2 linked regions of the Sus scrofa genome follow. The protein of the gene in region 1 purifies or fractionates together with the protein of each later gene. This does not show direct contact. Links are inferred from orthologs where the notes say so. Each region holds a gene or a part of one and is shown in the gene's direction. Other genes may lie near its edges.

Evidence for each region.
Region 2: the proteins of POGZ (region 1) and ZNF428 purify together in Homo sapiens (affinity purification with mass spectrometry; 3 studies listed by BioGRID and IntAct, counting the BioPlex papers as one, with this or other methods). This does not show direct contact. The link is inferred for Sus scrofa from reciprocal best matches to the Homo sapiens genes POGZ and ZNF428.

Annotation. Positions count from the first base shown.
Region 1 is NC_010446.5:97,821,301-97,825,121, forward strand, and holds part of POGZ (pogo transposable element with ZNF domain), read left to right. Parts: intron 1-2,768; coding exon 2,769-2,869; intron 2,870-3,399; coding exon 3,400-3,546; intron 3,547-3,821. UniProt on the Homo sapiens protein: Plays a role in mitotic cell cycle progression and is involved in kinetochore assembly and mitotic sister chromatid cohesion.
Region 2 is NC_010448.4:50,450,506-50,453,848, reverse strand, and holds the end of ZNF428 (zinc finger protein 428), read left to right. Parts: intron 1-2,044; coding exon 2,045-2,547; 3' UTR 2,548-2,709; downstream 2,710-3,343.

The DNA of each region.
Region 1 (3,821 bases):
ATATATCACAGGTGGGGCCAAAAAAAAGGGAGAGAGAAACAAACACAGGCTAAATACAACCTCAGAAAATTTTAGTCATTTGCTTAAAAGTATACACCTCTCATAAGGTGCATTGTAAGGGTTTGAGTCCAATCTTCTAGAATATTTCCTATGTCCTTTAAGGGATTTCTAGTTTTGTTGAAGAGAAAAAAATTATGTAACTATAGGAAATTGTGAAAACAAGAGAATATATTTATTGTAAACATGTGCATTGTATAACACCAGTGATAGATGAAATAGTTCAGAGAAGGAAAAAGATCCTGTGGCCAGATTTCACAGGAAGTAATGTGTAAACTTTTCAAGTTTTTATTTATTTTTATTTGTTTATTTATTTATTTGTCTTTTTGCCTTTTCTAGGGCCGATTCCCACGGCGTATGGAGGTTCCCAGGCTAGGGGTCTAATAGGAGCTGTAGCCACCGGCCTACACAGGATCTTACACCACAGCTCACAGCACGACCAGGGATTGAACCCGCAACTTCATGGTTTCTAGCCAGATTCGTTAACCACTGCACCACGACAGGAACTCCCTCAAGTTTTTAAATACAAGAAAGATTTTGATGAATGAAAAGTAGTAAGAAAGGTTTGTAAGTGATGGGAAGCAGCATGTGCAGACACATAAAGGCAGAAATGTGCATGTTAAGTGGATGCTTTTTATGCAAATTAAAAATCTTGACTAAAAATGGACAAAACATTAAGAACAAATATTATATCTTTTAACTGAGAGGATCCAAGGTTTGGAGTGAGCTTAAGGCCCAAAATTTGAGTCCTCTACTTCTCAACAGGTTTCCTTGTCTCCATCATAGCAGGGTGGCTTTGTTAGTCTTAGGCATTACATTCAGGTGTAAAATTGTACAGATGAAGAAGAGTATATCTTCCTGTGTCTTCCTGAATCTATTTCTTACAAGGCAGAATTGTTTTCCCTTTGTATCTCCTTGGCTTTGGTCATATTGTCAAGGGAAATGGGATTGCCATGAGTGGTTCAGACTAATGCTGATCAACAAATACAATGAGCTACGTATATAATTTTAATTTTTTTAGTGGTCATTTGAAATAAAAGCTTTTTAAAGGTGGAATTAATTTTAATAATGTATTTTAGGAGTTCCCACTATACCACAGTGGGTTAAGGATCCGGCATTGCCACAGCTGTGGCCTCAGTTGCAGCTGTGGCTCAGATTTGCCTGGCCTTAGAACTTCCATATGCCACGGGTGCAGACATACTAAATGATATTATTTATGTTGTGTGACAGCTGTAACAATAGAGGTGATATATAGGTTATAGGGAAAGCCTTTGAGGGTGAATAAGATTGCACAGGTAAAACACAGAAAACAAAAAAGGCCTTGGACAAAAGATTGGGAAACACCAATGCTTAAAGGTGTTCGAAATTGAACCTGCGTCCTCATGGATGCTAGTCAGATTCTTTTCCACTGAGCCACGACAGGAACTCCTAGCAATTAAGATTTTTGCCAAAAACCTAGAATTACAGCCTTATAAAAGCTTGATAAAATGGCTAATTTTATTTTATTATTTTTAAAATTTTTATTGGAGTATAGTTGATTTACAATGTTATATTAGTTTCATGTACAGCAAAGTGAATCAGTTGTGTGTATGTATGTATATATGTGTATATATATCCATTCTTTTTAAAATGGCTCATTTTAAAACAACAGGGTCTCACTGTATAGCTTAGGAAACTATATCCAGTCTCCCAGGATACACCATGATGGAAAAGAATATAAAAAAAGACTATATATGTATAAATAACAGTCACTTTACTATACATCAGAAATTGACACAACATTATATATAGATCAACTGTAGTTTTTTTTTTTTTTTTTTTTTTTTTTTTTTTTGTCTTTTTGCCATTTCTTGGGCCTCTCCTGCAGCATATGGAGGTTCCCAGGCTAGGGGTCTAATTGGAGCTGTAGCTGCCAGCCTACGCCAGAGCCACAGCAACTTGGGATCCAAGCCGAGTCTGCAACCTACACCACAGCTCACGGCAACACCAGATCCTCAACCCACTGCGCAAGGGCAGGGACCGAACCTGCAACCTCATGGTTCCTAGTCGGACTCATTAACCACTGCGCCATGACGGGAACTCCTCAACTGTAGTTTTAAAAAAATGACTAATTTCAAAGTTTAATTATCTCAAATTTGTTAATACTGAAGTAACAACTCATAAGAAGGCAAGAAGTTGTTTCTGTTCATATTGTCAGTCTTTTGAGGATAAATCCTCATTCATCCTCATTTAGTAAGTGTTCAGTCCAGGTCGAATTTTTCATAGGAGATAACCATTGTCTATCCTTAAGCAGAGGAATGAAGTAATATAGTATTTTAAAATAAATTCATTTGGCGATGGTATATAAAGGATACTGTATTTATTGGAGAAATAGGAGGTATTAGAAGCCAGCTGACTAGCAGTAGGAAATCCTATGAGCTTCTACCAAGTTTTTGCCTGTGAGAATGAAGAGGTGACAATTTCTCTGTGTAATTTGAAATAATGGTGACAGAACACAGTGGTTTGGAGTCAGATAAAGAAGTCTGAGCTAGAGACAGGATATCAGCACACAAATGTTGAGACAGAGCCGTTTTAAAGAGAGAAGGAAAGAGACTTAATAATTTACGACTATTGAAAATGAAAATGTAGGAGTCAGAGAAATAAAGATAATGAGTCAGCAGGACTTTCGTCATATTTTCAGGTGGATTTATTGATTATTTTTCTTCCTACAGCAAAGTGCAAGATCTGTGAGTGGGCATTTGAGAGTGAGCCACTGTTTCTCCAGCATATGAAGGATACTCATAAGCCTGGAGAGATGCCTTACGTTTGCCAGGTATTGCTTCTTTCTCCAGGGAGCTTTAGCTATTTTGCTCTCAGGCTGAACACAAAGAGTCCACTAATGAACAGTGTAATACCTGTTACACACACTCAGTTTTAGGAACACAGAAGAGATACTGAAGAAACAGTAAACTTGAGTTGTATTTTCAGGATTTTTCCATGCAGGAGAAAACACAAAGAAATGTATCCTTGTACCAGCTGAGAAACCCACCTGGGAGCGTCCATATGTGCTGGGGGGGTGTCTGTCTCCTGAACATGCCTTTTGGAGATGGACAGGAAAAACTATTCCTCTCAGTCAGAATATGAACTATTCTCAACCTTTCCTGTCCTTCCCCATTTTTATCTTGGTTCACAGCTGAATGTATCACAGACATAGCCCTGCATCAAAAAGTCAGAAAAATAATTTGATTTCTATACATTAAGGAAATTTTTTTTTCATATTTTAACATTTTTGTTGCTACCTCTTTTCAAAGACCTCAGTTGTTCACTTCACTCTTAGCTCATTTTCCCTCTTATGTCACTCAGGTGTGTCAGTATCGCTCCTCACTCTACTCTGAGGTCGATGTCCATTTTCGGATGATCCACGAGGATACTCGGCACCTGCTCTGCCCTTATTGCCTGAAGGTCTTCAAAAATGGCAATGCATTCCAACAGCATTACATGAGGCACCAGGTACCAGACACCAAGCAATTCCCATGTTCTCATTTTTAAGTTTATGGAAGCCGGGCCAGGACTGAGCTAATAAATAAGCAAATAATTTTGGTAGAGAAGATAATATAAATGTGTTTGGAAAAATTTATTGAATGCCAATGATAAGTGCTGGGCACTGGGCTAGATGCTAGAGATTTAGTGGTAAACAAGACAACAATACAGTAAAACACGAAGAATGTTGTGTTAGGGGAAATACAGGCTACAGAAAGGAATATACCTATTAGGGGAGCCTACTA
Region 2 (3,343 bases), on another chromosome or scaffold:
AGGCACAGCCCTGCGGGCTCAGGGCTAGGACAGCCCAAGGTAAAAGAAAGCGGCAGGCTGCCTAGGATTAGGAGACCTGGGATGCGCTCTTGCTCTCTCGGGGGGAAAGCCCTCCTGCTACGTACTAAATGATGCCCTGGAGACCCCAGCAGAGGGAGCCCATGTGTGAAAGCCTCAGCAGAGGTTTGTCAGATTGAATGCCAGGCACAGAGACTGTTTCAGATGCCAGGGACACAGCCACGAACCAGACGAAGTCCCTGCTTTGGGGGACAGGCAGTAAACACACACGTAGGTGTTGCATACGGTAAATTGAGGAGAAAAATAAAGCTGAGCTGGGGTGTAGCGAGTGCTGGGGAGGGATTCCTGGGTAGACAGTCTGACCAGCGTTTCACTGAGGTGACACTTGAGCAGAGTCGTGGCAGAGGGGAGGGATCAAGCCTTAGTTATCTGCAGAAAGGGTGGCAAAGGCCCCGAGGGGGGTGCCAGTCTGGGCTGTTGAGAGATATGAGGAGCCAGTGCGCCTGGCTCAGTCATGACAGGGTCCCCGTGCACTGCCAGAATGAACTGAGGAAGGGGGGCTGGATATCCAGGGCTAGGCTGTCGCTGTCCTGAGAGATGCTTTTGGCAGGCTCCTGCCACTGCACCTGAAGAAGCCAGTATTTCCCACCCTGCTGCTGCCGCTGAAGTGGGGGACTCCCTGGCCATGACCAGGCCCGAGCCCGCATCCCCCATAAGAGCTGCTGGTGCCACCATTTCCTGCACACCAGCTCTAAATTTTTTCCTTTTTTTTTTTAACCTAAGCTTATCCTGGGCATGTCCTTCATAGCCATGAAATCACAGCAGTATATCTATACTTATAAGTAAATTAACTCAACTGGATTTTTTCTTTCGGCCACACCCACAGCACACAGAAGTTCCCTTGCTGGGGATCGAACCTGCACCACCATAGTAACCTGAGTCACAGCAGTAACAATACCAACTCCTTCACCTGCTAAGCCAACAGGGAACTCCCAGATATTTATGTGTATATGTATGTGTTATAATTTGCTTCGATACCTGTTCAAGTGTTTGGCTTCCTGAAATGCTCCAGTGTAGGCCATCACCATGTGTGGCTTTCCTTGTTAGAGCTTTGTGACAGGAGGCCAGTGAGGTGCCTGACTTCTTTGTGCCTCAGTTTCCCCATTCGTCACTTAGGGATCGCAATGGTACTTCCTTCAGGGCTGTCCTAAGGATTAGTTAATACATAAAACTAGGTCCTTGGAGTTCCTGTTGCGGCTCAGCAATAACAGACCGACTGGTACCTATGAGGATGTGGATTCGATCCCTGACCTTGCTCAGTGGGTTAAAGGATCCTGGCTTTGCCTCAAGCAGCGGTGTAGGTCGCAGATGTGGCTCGGGTCTGGTGTGGCTGTGGCTGTGGTGTAGACTGGCAGCTTCAGCTCCAGTTCGACCCCTTGCCTGGGGTGCGGCCCTAAAAAGCAAAATAAGACAGGAGTTCTCATCGTGGCTCAGTGGTTAACGAATCTGACTAGGAACCATGAGGTTTCGGGTTCAATCCCTGGCCTTGCGCAGTGGGTTAAGGATCCAGCATTGCCGTGAGCTGTGGTGTAGGTTGCAGATGGGGCTCAGATCCCGCGTTGCTGTGGCTGTGGCATAGGCTGGTGGCTACAGCTCTGATTAGACCCCTAGTCTGGGAGCATCCACATGCCTTGGGAGTAGCCCTAGGAAAGGCAAAAAGACAGAAAAAAAAAAAAAAGGCAAAACAAGACAAAACTGTTCTTGAAATAGCAGCGGACACTGTCGTTTTTATGATTCCCACTTCTCCAACTTTGCTCTTTTCACACGCCTAAGATGAAGTTCATTTGCTTGACACATAGGTGCTGAGCGCCTGCTGGGTGCCGGGCTCTGTGCATAGGGAAGAGCGGGGCGTGCCCAGGTTCTCCTCCCCCTACTGTGGCCAGTCTGCACCGGGGACAGAGAGGGGACAGCCAGGCGTAGCCCTCCGTCCTCTGATGCCATGACCTTCCTCATCCATCTCCCATAGGCCCCGAGCATTCCTCTGACTCCGAATACACTCTCTCTGAGCCGGACTCCGAAGAGGATGAGGAGGAGGAGGAGGAGGAAGAGGAGACCACTGATGATCCTGAATATGACCCTGGCTACAAGGTGAAGCAGCGCCTGGGGGGGGGCCGGGGGGGCCCATCCCGCCGGGCCCCCCGCGCAGCCCAGCTCCCGGGCCCCCCAGCCCAGCCCTGCCAGCTCTGTGGCCGTTCACCCCTTGGGGAGGCCCCGCCAGGCACCCCACCTTGCCGGCTCTGCGGCCCCGCTACAGCCCCCCAGGAAGCGCCAGCCCCTGACAGCAGGGCTCTCGGGGAGGAAGCGGAGGAGCCACCTCGGGCTGGGGAGGGCCGGCCAACCGGGAGGGAGGAGGAGGAGGAAGAGGAGGAGGAGGAGGGCACCTACCACTGTACGGAGTGCGAGGATTCCTTCGACAACCTGGGGGAGCTGCATGGGCACTTCATGCTGCATGCCCGGGGTGAGGTGTAGGCAGAGCCCCCCCCAGGGAGCTTGCAGGGGGGTGGGGTGGGGGTGGGAGGAGGGGTGGAGGACATTGGGTGGTCCCAGTAGTCCTGGGGACGGGGTGCCGCCGATCTGTGTTGTCTTAGCAGTAGATGTGTGAAGGCCAGAATAAAAGCCGAATTCTGTGTGTGTTGGCCCAGTGTGCGTTTGGTGTGTGTGTGTGTGTGTGTGTGTGTGTGCGCACGTGTGCGAGCACTGGTATGTGAGGCACGTGCCTGGGCATTAACCCACCATCCCTGGCTCCTTCGGGAAACCCTAGGATGGTTGTTGCCAAGATAATTAATATTTACTAAGTATGTATGTTCAGTGTGGTTTCCGTGTATTTAATCATAGACCCCATGATGTATATAGGCCCAGACACAACAGAATTTGGCGGGTGTTTCGGGTGGGCAGATAACCTCCACAGGGTGGTTTGGGGGCCCAGGCCATCTTGTCAGCTTTTCGTCTTTCACACGGTCATGGCTGTGTCCGTGGCCTGGCTTCTGCTGGTGGAAGGGGAGAGGGAGCCTGGAGAGGTACATGTGTTCTCTTAGAAGCCCCAGCCTGCAAGAGGTGCTGCTTCCACTTAGCTTCCTTTGTGGAGAGATGAGTCACATGGCCACAGCTCGCAGCAAGGGAGTCTGGGAAAGGCGGTCTAGCCAAGTGCCCAGAAAGCGGAAAACAGTTTGTGGAAGACAGCTCGTGCTCTCTGCCATTTCATCCAGGACCCTCACAAAGAGGACTTGAATTATAATCATAGCTGTGCTTCACGAGCGCTTCCTGG